Lepisosteus oculatus: one gene and its partner. The protein of the gene in region 1 interacts with the protein of each later gene in a pairwise test. Links are inferred from orthologs where the notes say so. Each region holds a gene or a part of one and is shown on either strand. Other genes may lie near its edges.

Region 1 (7,327 bases):
TGCTTTAAAAGAGTCTGGCCAGCCCCATTACACATCTCTGAACTACTTTATGTTTCCAATCCCTTTTGAAGGCTCTGGTCAGTTGAGCCTGGTGCTTTGCTCAATGTATCTAGGAATAAATCTCAGACTTTCAAAAAAACGTGCCTCATCTGTTGCAGCGCCATAGTTATGGAATGCCCTTCCTCAGACTCTGGGAGAGACAAATTCTCTGACTTTCTTCAAATTTAAACCCAAGACTCATCTCTTTATTAGGGCCTATGTCTGATTTATCTACATTCCAGCTGTATGAACCTGTATGTTTTTGTTAATTTTTTTTATTGAACTTTTCTTTTCTTATCTTGTTTTTCTCCTTATCACTATGTACAGTGTCTTTGGGTTTGGAAAGTTACTTTATAAATGAAGCACCTTTCCAAACGTATAAATTAAATGTTTAAAAAAGGCTTTAACTTTGGAGAATTGAGTGATGGTAATAAGTACTCTCACAAAATACTAATGATACCAAAAGAACATTATATTCACATACACATAAGTCAACAGAGTTATGTGATTTTAGGCAGAATCTTACTTTTTTTACAAACACGAAGTGTAAATGTGCTCACCTCGGGGCGTTTCAGTTCCTCAGTTGCATAATTCAAATTGTTCCACCCATCATAGGACCACAGACCTTGATAAAAGGCCACTCCTATGTTGTTTATGCCAACTATTGTGCCTTCAAATGCCTTGTGGAAGCTGTCTGTGTGTCCTCTAAAGAGCAGCAGCACTCCTCCGATCACGATCACCAACAGGGCCAGCACCTTGGCCACTGTGAAGATGACTTGGATGGACATTGAGAACCGAACATTGAGGCAGTTCACAATTGCTAGTGTCAGTATACAGGCAGCAGCCACACTCTTGACCACCAGCTGAGGTGGGTAGCAGCCCTGATAAAAGGGGGCCACAGCGTACTCTGCAAAGCTCAGGGATATTCCTGTAATGCTGGCTGGCCTCACTACAAACATGGAGGTAAAAGCGAGAAGGAAGGCTGGCAGAGGCCCTGACGTCCGGAGAATATAGATGTACTCCCCTCCCGATTCCCGAATGACAGTTCCCAGCTCTGCATAGCAGAGAGACCCCAGCATAGCCAGGACACCACACGCTGCCCAGATCACCAAGCTTCCTCCTGGACTTCCGATATTGTACAGCACCCACTGGGGGGACATGAAAATTCCTGATCCGATCATCGTGCCCGCTATCAGGGACACGGCACTGACCAAACCAACCTCCCGTTTCAGGCTGAATGTCTGCACCTTGTCATTGATCCCTGAAGATGTGTAAGATATAACAGAATTTTTCCTGCTCATTTTTCAAAATCTTGACCGTTTCAATCCAGCTGAGAGAGATCTCTGTTTTGAAGAAAATGAATTAGAGAGCAATGCTGCTCTGTCATGATGGGACAAAGTCACACTTACAGCAATTTATTCAGTTAATAATTACATTCCCAGGGTTAGAAAATGGGTTGAACTCCACTTGTGCAAAGTGTACTAAAAATATGGTACTAAAAATAAAAATGATGATAATGTATTCCAGAGGTGACCTTGCAGAAGGGATTATTTTCAACAGTAATTTTGTGGTAAAGGAATTTTTTTAAAGTGAACTAATAACCCAGAATTAAGTTACACTGAACAGAGGTTGAGGTGTTTTGATTTATTCCTGCATCAGTCCTTCTGCTTGCTAATGGAATAACAAAGAAGTACACACAAAATTGCAAGATGATTGTGGTTAGTGAAGAACCTTCCAAAATCTGCCACTTAATAATTGACTACATTCATGGGCTAGACATAGCATACATACTTATGTCACACTCTTATCTGTTTATGCTATAATTCAATTCAAGGTCCCTGTTCCAACCTACATCTGCTTGCATTACAAGCCTCCCTTGCACATATAATTCTCTGTGTCTACTGATACCCTTGTCTGCCTTTTTTTTCCCACCTCTGCTGCCCAGCTGATGTTATCATTTGTTTTAACTCTCCATTATTGTGTTATCCTGCCCCACTCTGATAGAACCAGCTGCTAGCAAACCCAACTCCATCTCTGAACAGCTTCTGTGACTTATTCAACAACCACCTACTTAACCTGTATTTGTAACGCCTGCTAAAAACAGGAGGAAGCATTTTGGTCCATCTAGCTCATCTGGTTTTTAGTAGGTAACTGCTATGAAGATTTCATTTAGACATTTATTTAAAGGAGCTAGGGAACTCTCTTCAACAATGTATAGAGCCTTAAAAAATATTCAGACCCTTGAACACTTTTCACATTCTGTTGGTTTCAAGTTTGCAGTCATGGCACTTTGAAGTAGCAATGAACATTTATTATATACAAAACCTGATCTGTAAGTAAACACAAAGACCAAAAAAACAAACAAATAAAGAGATTAAGTGGTGAAATGTATTTACTGTACTTGTACAAAATTACCTCAACAATTAATTTAACATTTAGTTGAGTGACCTTTCTATGAGTGCATTAATAGTGGTTAACATAATTTAAGAATAAATACACGTCTCTTTAAGATTCCTCAGTCAGAAATGAGGAATGACAAGCTGCAGCATAACGTAATGCTGAGACCACCAGTAGGTATGTTACTGACTGGATGATGTGCTGTGTTGAGTCTGTGCCAGATGTAGCTATTTGATTTAGACCAGTCTTTTTTTTTATGTCTGGCTCAAAAAATGTTTGTTACATGTGTGCATTAACATTTAAGTGTTTTGTTGCATTTGTAAAAAAAAATGCAAAAAAATAGTTCAAGTAGGTAGCTGTGTCAGAATGCTTAGGCTGCAAAGGAACAACAAAAGGTTTATTCCATGCTGAAAAGAGAAGAAAAGTAACAAAACATTTTGGCTGTGGAGCCTTCTTTGGTTGTAAAAAATATAAAGCATGGATGACAAGCACTGCCACTCACGATCCAAAGAAAGCACACTTTATTTCTGAGAACAAAGTGAAAGACGATGTGCTCTACTGGAGCTTGCAACAGAAGAAGAAAAAAAGAACTGTAATACAGGGCACGTATTTCGCTCACCTAGATTCCCTCTGAATCCCTAAACCCAGGCGGGGTTCTCCTTTTTATTCCCCATTGGGGAGCTGAGAGGCTTCAAGGAGAGGGGCTTTCACACCAGCAGGAGTGGAGCCCCTTTGCCCTCACTGGACTGAGTCCAGAAATTTCCATCCAACCCCTGACCCCTCAACAGCACAAGTCTCCTCAGCAGCCACACACCCAGGGCTGTGATACCAGAGCAACGCAGCAGCGCTGCTCCCCTCTCCTGACACACAGACATCACTGCGTGTGGAGGGAACTCTTTACACAGTGTTTATGTGGTCAGTGTTAAATTCCATGTTGCAGATAACAACATTCGTTATGAAGGTCTTAAATGATATTTTGTATAACAAACTTGCATTTCTTTCTCCAGATACACAACGTGGATGTAATTATACACACATTGTAAAGAGATAAAGGCGAAGGTCAGACACGCTAGTTTTGCCCAGTAATTAAAATAAGTAAACATCTTGTCAGAGAGGTACACACATCAGTAATATAAAAAGTTATCTAAAAATACAAATATGATACTAGGGTTTAACTTTCAGCTCTTCTTCTAGTATTACCTTACTACATAAGAACATAATCCTTTCTCTAGAAGTTAATTTAACAAACTTAAATATACTGTCAATTGTTTTAACACACAAGCTTACATCTGAATAATTTACATTTACAGTTTTACTAGAACAGAAGTTCAGATGCCCAATCAGTACTCCACGCTGCGGGACTAAATATCACTAAACACAGAAAAAATGGGATGTCAAAAGGTTAACATCAGGAGCAGGGTTTAAACTGTCTCATTAATAGCATCTCCTGAAGTCAAACAAATTTGTAAATATTAAAAAAATGTAAATATGTCTATATAAACCAGTTTAAATAATACTACATAAACTTAAACCTTACAAAATACCATTTTTCATCAATTAAGCAATTTACACTGTTTCAAATTACGTTAGAAAAATGATTTCCCTCCATCTCTACGTAAACCGTTAATAAACCTGGATTTTGCTGACCTCAAATAAGTGCGACAAGACAGACAACCACGTGATTTCCTGAATTCTATTTATATTGCCAAATGTCTGCTTCCTTGATGCTGTTAACTAGCGATAAGCCGCAGTTTCTCTAGAGACAGCAAGGGTGATGAGAACGTACCTAAACGAATGTTCTCCTACGTGGGGCGCAAATCTCTAAATAATGCTAAAAACGAAACAAACCCGAAACTCGGTAACCCCCCCGGCTTGTGCCGCCGTGCTGTAGCGGCTCCCATCGCGCAGGTCTGTGGCGGAGCCGCTGCAGCTCCTCCCTCTGCCTCTGTCGCCATGTTGTCGGTGCTCCTCTAGCCCAAGCTCAGTTCGAGAGGGGAGGGGGGAGAGGGCGACACTTCCACTGAACGTACCACGTACAAACCAAAACCATTAAAACACCGACATCCACCAAAAAACAAAACAAAGTCTGTATATAATAATAATCCATCGCCATCCAGCAGCACGGCCTGTGAGTATCCCGTCCATCCCCAGGTTTGGATCAAATGCACACCTTGAGGGACTCCATTCCGGGATTATTGCCAGGGACCGAGTGTTTAGAACATGTTTTATTATTATTATGATATTTCCTTTTGTTTAGCGGGTAAGGCTCTCTGTTTAGAGCAAGGAGGGGGGCCATGTTAGTGTAGTAACCCAGCAGCAATGGCTGGCGCAGGTCTTCTCGCCGAGTTTGTGTTTCTGTTCGAGCTTTTCCGCGGATTGTTTTAAAAGAAGCTGGAAGCTTCTGTTTTGGTTTATAGCTTTCTTAAGCGACATACTGGGGACGGTGGGCAGCTGTATTATTCTGTAAATGCTTTTTGGGTGCTTTTGTCCTGCTTTCCTTTTAAATAATATTGAAGGTAAGAGGCCTCAGCTGTTTGTAAATACTGCTCTTGATGCTTTTTATTATGCTTTATGCTTTCGTTAGACGTTTACCAGCGCGTGTTTATGTTTACGAGGATATTATTTTTTGGATCTCCACTTTTAAGTAAACATAAAATAATGTTTTTGAAGTCATAGTGCTGACACCTCGAGAGTTTTCTTTTTGTCTACTTTGGTAGTGATGGATTTCCTTTTATGTGCCATCCTGTGTTATTTATTGTTTGAAAACAATTTGAACTCACTTCACCGTCGTGAGCTGGAGTAAAACTGTCCTGGTACAGGAGAGGTTCGGTTCTGCTTGGCTTCTTTCCCGGTCTCTATTTCCAAGAAGTTCACTTGTTTACCAACAACTGGGTCATTTTCTTTCCGTGCAACTAAAAATATCCCTATGCATAAAGACTTTTATATTTTGTGCTTCCCCATAGGTGTAAAGACCCGTGTGATAATACAGACGTGTGTGCGAAGAGTTAATTTTAATAGCTCTTGCTTTCTTTTTTCTCGATGTAGTTAAATGATCCTGGCTGTCTTACACTTAGCCTGTCTTTACGGTAACTAGGCCTCATTCCTTGTTTATGCTTTGTCTTCTCAAAAGCTTCTCGCAGACAGTGGTGGTTCTGTTAATACAGCTTCTGCAGGCGACCGGTTAATAATACCACTGATACATGTAGGACAATACTACCATTAGGAACACAGATCAGATTTTGAAACATAAAGCTAATGATGTTGGCTGTTCTAGATTGTATTCATTGCTAATATAAATCCGTGTGCATATAAATGTCTTTGTGGGCTACATGTTATTATTGGCCTAAACCATATGCAGCAAGGGTGTTAAAGACTGTTCTTTCACATTTGTCTGAAAAGTTGTTGCTGTTTACAGTGCAAACTTGCTAACCTGCCATGTATAAAATATGTATTTTACTGTTTCAAAGATGTTACTTTTTTTATGACCAACCTCACAGTGATGGAACTGTGGCAAATACAGCCCGTCTACTCAGCAGGCTGAAAAGGTCATGGTTTTGAGGCACTGTTGTAGAAGGAGTGGGGGGATGGGCAGTTAAAAAAAAGAATAGTCAGTGCTATTTTATGAAAAAAGCATCTCACTTTATGTGATGGTATTCAGTTTTTCTCCGTGTATTACACAAGGCAGGGCACATTCGAGTGCCTGATGGATGTCATTGAAGGATATATTATTTGGTAATCACTGAGCAGTGTTTTTAGACATTTTGCAGTGATGTATCAAGTGTGTAAATGTGGAAGTCACGTTGTTAAACAGCGAAACTGAAATATCTAAATTAAATTGGAAGTCTAGTTATGTGACACTGCATGCCATTTTTAACTGAAGTGCATTGCAACAGTGTTGTGATTCACATGCAGTGGATTCAGTTACAGTACACATAGTCTAAGTGCATTAAATATTCTACCAAAGGCAAGAGCATGTCAGATCATAAATTTAAAGAATCGGTTCTCAGGTTAGTTTAGTTTTTTTATAATCCTTCTTGTTTTTTTCCATCTTTACTGATTGAGTTATATACAACAGGCTGACAGCTCTAGGATGACAGAGGTTATGCCCAACAGATAGTGAAAGTCCTTGTAGTTTTTGTGTGGTGTTTGTACTGAAGGGACTCTTAAGCATCTCGAGAGAGAAAAGAGTGCTGCTTACTCTTTAAAGAAGTTTGGAAATGCTAAAAAAAAACTATCTTTTTTTTTGTTTAGAAACACAAAGCCCAAGGTGCCTGGAAATGCAAATAGTAAATAAAATAAACATAATTATTTAACAATATATTATCCATAAACCATCGTATGATAAAACAAATGTTCATGTTTCAAAGTGGATGTTTTGCCACAAATGATTATGTTCTTTGGGATATTATATAGCTTTTTCATTAAAATGAACAAATAGTCCTCCTGTTGATGCATGTATATATACACACCACATTAAAAAGCTATTGAGAAGTCCATCATAAAACTTTAATATTTGTTTACCAGCCATGCTTTTTGCTTATTTGTTAATTTCTGATTTATCTGTTACTTTGTTCTTGATCTTTGAATGGTTAAACATTTAAACTAGAGAAGGTGTGTTTAAATTGCCCAATCCGCTGTATTCTTGAGCTGTGTTACTCTGAAGATGGTGTGCACAGCACCTTAACTCTTTCTCCTGTCTATGTGCACAGCATATAATAAATTGAAATTTTTTTCTTGAGGGTAAAGTAACTGTAGGCCTATATTTTTATCAAAATAAAACAAGAGTTTGGAAGATTGCAATTTTCTATTTTTTTCTTGTCAGATATGATTTTCTATTTTGTTAGAGTCACAATTTCATAGTTTTATGATCGTAGAACTCAGATCTCCTTTC
Region 2 (6,911 bases), on another chromosome or scaffold:
GATCAAATGTGTGTATGTGCTTTGTTACTGCGATAACAAGTGCAAATATACATAGAAAATGTTAAACATTATAACATTTTACAAAGTATATAATCTTAATATAGTCAGAAGGAGCACGTAAAAACTATTCCAAAATATCCACAGTATGTAACCGAATGAAAGACTTTGATGGTTAAAATGTTTAGGAAGGAAGGGGAATACTGGTGTGTATTTTTTTTAAACTACCAATACCAGCCATATACAGTTTACATAATATGATTATGTTCCTAAATTTATATCGCTTATGACCTTTAGACGCTCCTCTTCTTTTTATGAATGGCTGCATCTGTATATACTGAAGGTCTTTCATAAAGGGTGGCATGGTGGCACGGTACAGTAGGTAACACTGCTAGGGCCCTGGGTTTCAATTCTGGAACTGATGTGCTATCTCGGTGGAGTTTGCATGTTCTCCACATGTACACGTGGGTTTTTGCTGGGTTCTCCAGGTTCTTCCCACAGTCCAAATACATACTGGAAGGTTAATTGGCTTCTATGAGAATTGGCCCTGGTGTGAGTGTCTAAGTGTACCCTACAATAGACTGGCATCCCTTCCAGTATGTAACCCACCTTGTGCCCATTGCTTGCAGGGATAGACTCTGGCTCCGCCATGACCCTGTATTGGATAAAGCAGTTAGAAAATAGATGTATGGGTAGGAAAATTATTATTGTATTTGTCCTAAAATTAATCTTCTGTAGTGAAGATCTTTGTTAATGCATTTAATTAAGTCATTATAATCTGCAAAGACGTGAAGCATGCTAACAATGTGTAGTATAACTTAAAAAAAAACAGAGTTCTGTATGACCTTTGCTGTAATAGTTCATTTGTAATAGGTTACGAAATAGCTCATTTGTAAAATTTGATTGGTTTAAAAAAATACAATTTTAAATACAAAGACGTATATTACTGTTGTATTCTATTGCAAAGAGAGCTACTCAAGCATTACACATTTAAATTAAGCACTCTGAAATACTGTCTTTTATTTTATACCAGCTCCTACTAAAGACTAGGCAAACATATGAATTGCTCAACATAATTACCCAAAACCCTGCAGTGATGTCTCAAAGGAATTACAGTACAGTGGAGATCTCCAACCGTTTCTGGAGTGTTCAATTAAGGGAACTCTTGTCCTTGAACTCTTGTTCCTAATTATCTTTAAATTGTTTCATTTAGCAAATCGCTTGCCATAGATCGAAGGTCATATTTTAGAGGCCTTATGAAATTTGTGATATAACGGTTAAGTTCTGCCGGCCGGTGATACAGGTACAGTATAGTCAACAATTCTAATTTTGTGTCAAAAGGTGGGGTTGCCATCTAGTGGTATAAAAGAGTGGTCATGCAATATTTAAACTCAACCTTTAAATATGTGTGGCTTAACAGTTCACAAGCAAATCTATATTTAAATATTTTTGCATGGTAATTTGGTTTTGCCATCTTACCTCAGAGTTTAAAGCTCAATGAAGTTAAAGCATTTATTAATTCACCTGGTCAGTCACAATAAAGCAGTCAGTCACAATAGAGCTAAATTTCCAGTATATTTACAAAGTATTTTGAATATTATTCTCCTGGGCATGTCTGGGGGGATGTATGATAACTATGTGCCATTACATTGGGGGGGGGGGGGGGGTATTCTGTTTATAATGTAGCATAAGACATTACTTTCCATTCTGGTTTAATTAATAAAATAATATCTTACAAATATAACAATAATTCCTTACTCTTACATAGCATTTTTCTGGACACACCACTCAAAGCCCTTTACAGGTAATGGGGACTCCCCTTCACCACCACCACCAAGGTTCAGCCCCCACCTGGATGATGCGATGACAGCCATACTGCATCAGTACACTTCACCACACATCAGCTACCAGTGGGGAGGAAAACAGCAATAAAGCCAATTCATAGATGGGGATCTAGTTCCAGCCACTGATTGGTAAAGGCCAACAGAAATTTGGTAACACCCCTACTCTTTTCAAGAAATGACCTCAGTGTGATATCTCATCCAAAGGACAGTGCTTTTTTACAGTGTAGTGTCCCTGTTACTATATTGGGGGCATTAGGACCCGCACAGACTGCATGGTAAGCACCAAGCACCTATTGCCCCCACTAACACCTCTTCTAGCTGTAACCTAAGCTTTCCCAGGAGGTCTCCTATCCAGGTACTGACCAGGCTCACACCTGCTTAGCAGCAATGGGTTGCCAGTTGTGAGTTGCAGGGTTATATACAGTAGCTGCTAGTAATCCTCTATTTTATTAATTTTAATTAATAAAATAGTTTAGATGCAAAAGAAGCTAATACAGTACATGTCAGTGCGGCAATCCACAACAATATTGTAACGCTACAGGGTTCACATGGGCACCCTCACCCTTGCCGCCTCAGGTCAGCCCCCCCACCATCGGGGACTCGAACCCAGGCCTCCGGCATCACTCAAGAGGGACCCAGCCACTTGAGCCAAAGGGAAATCTCCCATCAGCCTGGTAGCTGCAGTCCCTGCTATTCACAGGGAAAGGCAGTGACGTCACCGCACTGGTAAGCCGGCTCTCACAACCAATGGAGGCTTTATGCGTTACACTCTCCCCCGCTTAACTCGCCGTCCTCGGCGAAGGGCTATCCCACCCTGCTTCTGACACCAGTGTAACGCCTACGGCCTCCATTGCTTGTGGTGGTGAGGGCACCCATGTGAACCCTGAAGCGTTACAATATTTTTTGTAAACTAACATTTTTGGTTGTATACTACTGTACTGACAAATACATAAATATCCTATATAAAAAGTAGGCAGTAATCACACAACTTTTTCTTCCCATTATATTTTATTCACTTTTTGTATTACAGTAAGAATGCAGGAAGATAATGAAGATAACAAATGAGAGGAGGCCAACTAGTCCACCTTGTTTATTTGGTTTATGGTAGCTTAATTGATCCAAGGTCAAATCCAGCTGGTGTCTATACAGTAAATGATGTATTTGTATGCACACATGTGCACCCTGCAGTGGACTGATGTAGTTTTACCATGCAACCTACATTATTCTGTTGCTACTGCGCTTATTGGGAATAAGTAGCTTTCTGATAGTGCAATGTACATTATGTAGCCCTTTCTTAAGGGTCCCAGAGAACAATCTTAAAAAAAAAAACCGCATCTGACAGTTTGTTAGTCCCTCACAACATTTTGTGCAAAAGAATTGCTTCCTGATGTCAGTCCTAGACCTGATGTTAGCTGCGTGGAGTTTGTACACTCTTCCAATGTTTGCCTGGGTTTCCCTGGAAGCTCCGGTTTCCTCACACTGTCCAAAAACATAACGGTAGGTTAATGTGGCTTCTCTGAAAACCGGGCCTCGTTTGAGTGTGTGTCTGTATGCTCTATAACGGACTAGTTACCCGAAAATGGACAGAACGGTTAGAAAACGGAGGGATGGGGAACCGGCACCGCAAATACAGTTTGTTGGTCTCACAATGCTTTCCTGGTCTTACGCTTTACAATAATTCCTTAATTCATTCGACCGGCCAATATAAAACGTTTAATCATACACTGTAATCGGTTTCACAATTGAATTTCGAAATAAATCTTCCCAAGGCAGTTTCGACGATTTCCATACAAGTGACGAATCAAGCTAGGAAGAGCGCGCCGTTAGGGAAGGCTTCTGGTAAATTAAGTAATCCCATGAAGGGCGAGGGGGGGTAATAGATACATTATGGTATATGAGTACATTCTTAGGTTGTAATGAACATAAAAAAATGAAAGCCTGATTTTCTATTAATTAATGTGATCAAGTAATGTGTATAAATAAAGTATAGATGAGCTAATTAAGGAGTTTTGTAATTGAAATGCACTCCCGTGTCTACCCACAGTTCATTTTTGGATTGTCCCAATTAAACTAAGTTTATTTAGTAGTGGATAGCGGCAGCGTTGGAATTGTTTGCCTATGGACAGTGCTTGGGGGCAAATTTTCTTGTTTGGGGGGGCAATATAAAGGTTTATGCCTTGGGAAAAGCGATTAATTTATTGTACAGTTTTAATTATTTTATTTATAGAAATGGTAAGTAGCATTCCGTATCGCCAACACTATCTCCTCATAGGTGGGGCCAAAGTGCTAATGGCTCGTAGAGGAGAGCGGGAACGAGTTTTTTTATTGTATTGATTAATATCAATAAATAACCACTATAGTCGGTTGTGTATTTCGCTTAACAGTTTATCTTCATTTCTTTGCGTTCTGTATCGTAAAAGAAACGTTTTACATATCCGTTGGCAACTTGCCATGCTCACGAGTTACGAGGAATCTGACATAAATCAATGAAACCGTGCTTCATACTGTTTTTATGGCAATGCTTGGTTTTATATTTTATCATACTGTAAATAGGTTGTTTTTCAAAAGGAAGTTATAGGAAGTATGATCATGATCCCCGACGATCAGATTAAAATAGTGGTTTTGGTGTGGAGTTTTTTTACGGGTGAGGTTCCACGTGTAATTCGCGTTTTTTCGAGGAAAGGTGCCAATAGTTCCTAGCTAAACCCAGAAATTATGCATCAATTAAAGTTTATTTCAATAATCTGTATCTTATCCCCTACGATAAGTATATGATGGATTAAAATTAGACTAGACCGTACGATGAAAATCGAGAATCACTTGCTGGGGAAACGAGCCTTCCTCGATTTTCCTCTTCCAGTCCACAAGTTTGGAAGTGTCCAGTATGTGCGTTTATTACAGATCTTAAAAGGTTAACGGAAATTGAATATAACTGCGAAATACACACGAGTGTGTATGGTCATGTTAGGAATCGGTCGAATATGGGTTTCTCTCCTTCAGGTTTGGAGATCAGAGAAATGGTGAAGCAGGTGTTGGAAGTGGAGCCGCACGGTCGGCTATGATGGCGATTTAACTTTTTCAGTAGCTGTGGACTATAACCAAAGTATATTGAATAAAGTTATTAATGAAATACTTAAACCCCGTTAGTCATGGCCGAAGTATGGTGATCTACTATATTTGCTCATTTTTCAGTCTGACAAGGAGAAACCCAACACAGCGATAAACGCATCTTACACTTCCCCTTCGCTGAAAATGGCAAACGGATACGTTTTGCCCGAAGGGAAGATAACGCCGAATACACTTTTTGTTGGAGGAATTGATATGAAGGTGAGTACAAAGAAAAACATTGGACGTAAAATTAGCTTGAACAGTTAGGCTTAAAAACGCTTTGTGTTGCAGGTGGATGAAAATGAAATAAGGGACTTCTTTGCAAGATACGGTGCCGTGAAGGAAGTAAAGATAATCACTTATCGCGGGGGCATTTGTAAGGGGTGAGTTTGTAAGTTAAGCTGCCTGTTTTTTATTTAAAGATAGAGTACTGCGCCTTCATAGATTCTCATCAGTGTTCTTAAATATTGCCAGTTAGTGCCAATGTACGTTTACTAGTTGACAGAATACACTATTTCATTGCATTTAGGTGTTTTATGAAAGAAGTAGCTTTAATGCATGTAACATGATTATTTCCTCCACCCCATAGGTATGGCTTTGTATCATTCAATGAGGATGTGGACATTCAGACCATTGTTGAAGTAAGAACGTCTGGAAGCTTGCCCGTCTCATAGATGCCGTTCACAGTATTTCAGTATTCGCATAGTCAAAGTTATAGCTGTTAGCTGCATCCATCTTTTGCATGCATGCTAATGTATGCCTGGGCCCATGAAGGTACCTTTTAATAAGACTGATAATCTGTCAAGTATTCCTCTTTCTTCATCCTTTGATCTGTTCTCCGTTTTTAAATGCACTTCCATGTGGAAACCGTTGTCTTCTGGTTTGCGTTTTGCTGAATTAGTTTGTGAATGTGAAGTCGAAAGGTTTGACTTCATCAGTGCCTTAAGGGATATCGATAAAATTGAATTGGGTCTCTTCTTAGTCTTCTCTGTTCCATATTCAACCCAGTTTTTAGCTTGTCGTCGTTTTTAAACTGTTAATGTTTTAAGCCCAGGAATGTATTGTCTGGTTGCTCTCTGCACTGAGCAGAGAATCAATAATGTTGTGCAATGTTATCCAATATTGTATACAATGTTCTGTATGCGGTCGTAGAAGTATTATAGATGTCTGTATGAATTTGCTGTAAAGTGCTTTCAGTGGTTGTGTTTTAGAGACTGCCAGATTTGTGTAAATCTGGCTTTATGTAAAGTTTCCATGGAGTAATTCTTAGTGTGAAAATTTACATTAGTGTCTAGCAACATAACTACTTGTGTATGGAGAAAAGGCAGCTATCTTGCTCTTGCAGTCTGCATCCTCAGTTTTGTTCCTTGGTGCCTTGTGTGCATAATTTCTCTCAAGAGTACATTCTCTGGAATAATTTCAGCTGTAACAGGTTAATCAAGGTTGCAAGATTTTCTAATGATGTAAAAAGTGTATATTTGTTTTGCTGGACTGCGTAAGAATGTCCTGACATACATAATTTCAAATGCATGTAAAGTTTGTGGAATCCCCTGATGTAAGTTGGGGAGTGTCTTACAGTATTTTTTTTTGTACTTGTGACTTGGTTTTGCTATGAATGGCTGGATTTGCAAGTTTTCTTAACCCAATATCTCAACTGTTATATGATTTTAATATAAAAAGCTTTGGTGAATTTCATAGATTACTTTTGTATTCCAAGCAATGTAAACTTGGAGCAATTTGTTTGTAGCACTGAGTTTTTGTAGCATGGTGCTGTTCACATTTGTTACATTTCTTATTGTAGTTGAGCGTTTTTCCATGATTAGTCCAGATAGCATCTCGAATGTTATTGAAATAGTGCTAAATGTGTGCATCAATGGAGATAAAAAGTAAGATGTTATCTTTTAAAAGATTTAAAAATTGGTAAAGCTAGCCATAGCAATGTACAATATCTGCAAAGTCAAA

Evidence for each region.
Region 2: the proteins of pumilio homolog 2 (region 1) and dazl interact in a two-hybrid assay, tested with the Homo sapiens proteins (2 studies listed by BioGRID and IntAct). The link is inferred for Lepisosteus oculatus from reciprocal best matches to the Homo sapiens genes PUM2 and DAZL.

The regions. Positions count from the first base shown.
Region 1 is NC_090697.1:25,729,656-25,736,982, forward strand, and holds the start of pumilio homolog 2, read left to right. Parts: upstream 1-4,300; 5' UTR 4,301-4,564; intron 4,565-4,729; exon of another isoform or gene 4,730-4,952; intron 4,953-7,327. Other genes in the region: b(0,+)-type amino acid transporter 1, read right to left, coding at 600-1,340. UniProt on the Homo sapiens protein: Sequence-specific RNA-binding protein that acts as a post-transcriptional repressor by binding the 3'-UTR of mRNA targets.
Region 2 is NC_090705.1:29,099,024-29,105,934, reverse strand, and holds the start of dazl (deleted in azoospermia-like), read left to right. Parts: upstream 1-3,891; 5' UTR 3,892-4,013; coding exon 4,014-4,073; intron 4,074-5,033; coding exon 5,034-5,168; intron 5,169-5,240; coding exon 5,241-5,332; intron 5,333-5,538; coding exon 5,539-5,590; intron 5,591-6,911. UniProt on the Homo sapiens protein: RNA-binding protein, which is essential for gametogenesis in both males and females. Plays a central role during spermatogenesis.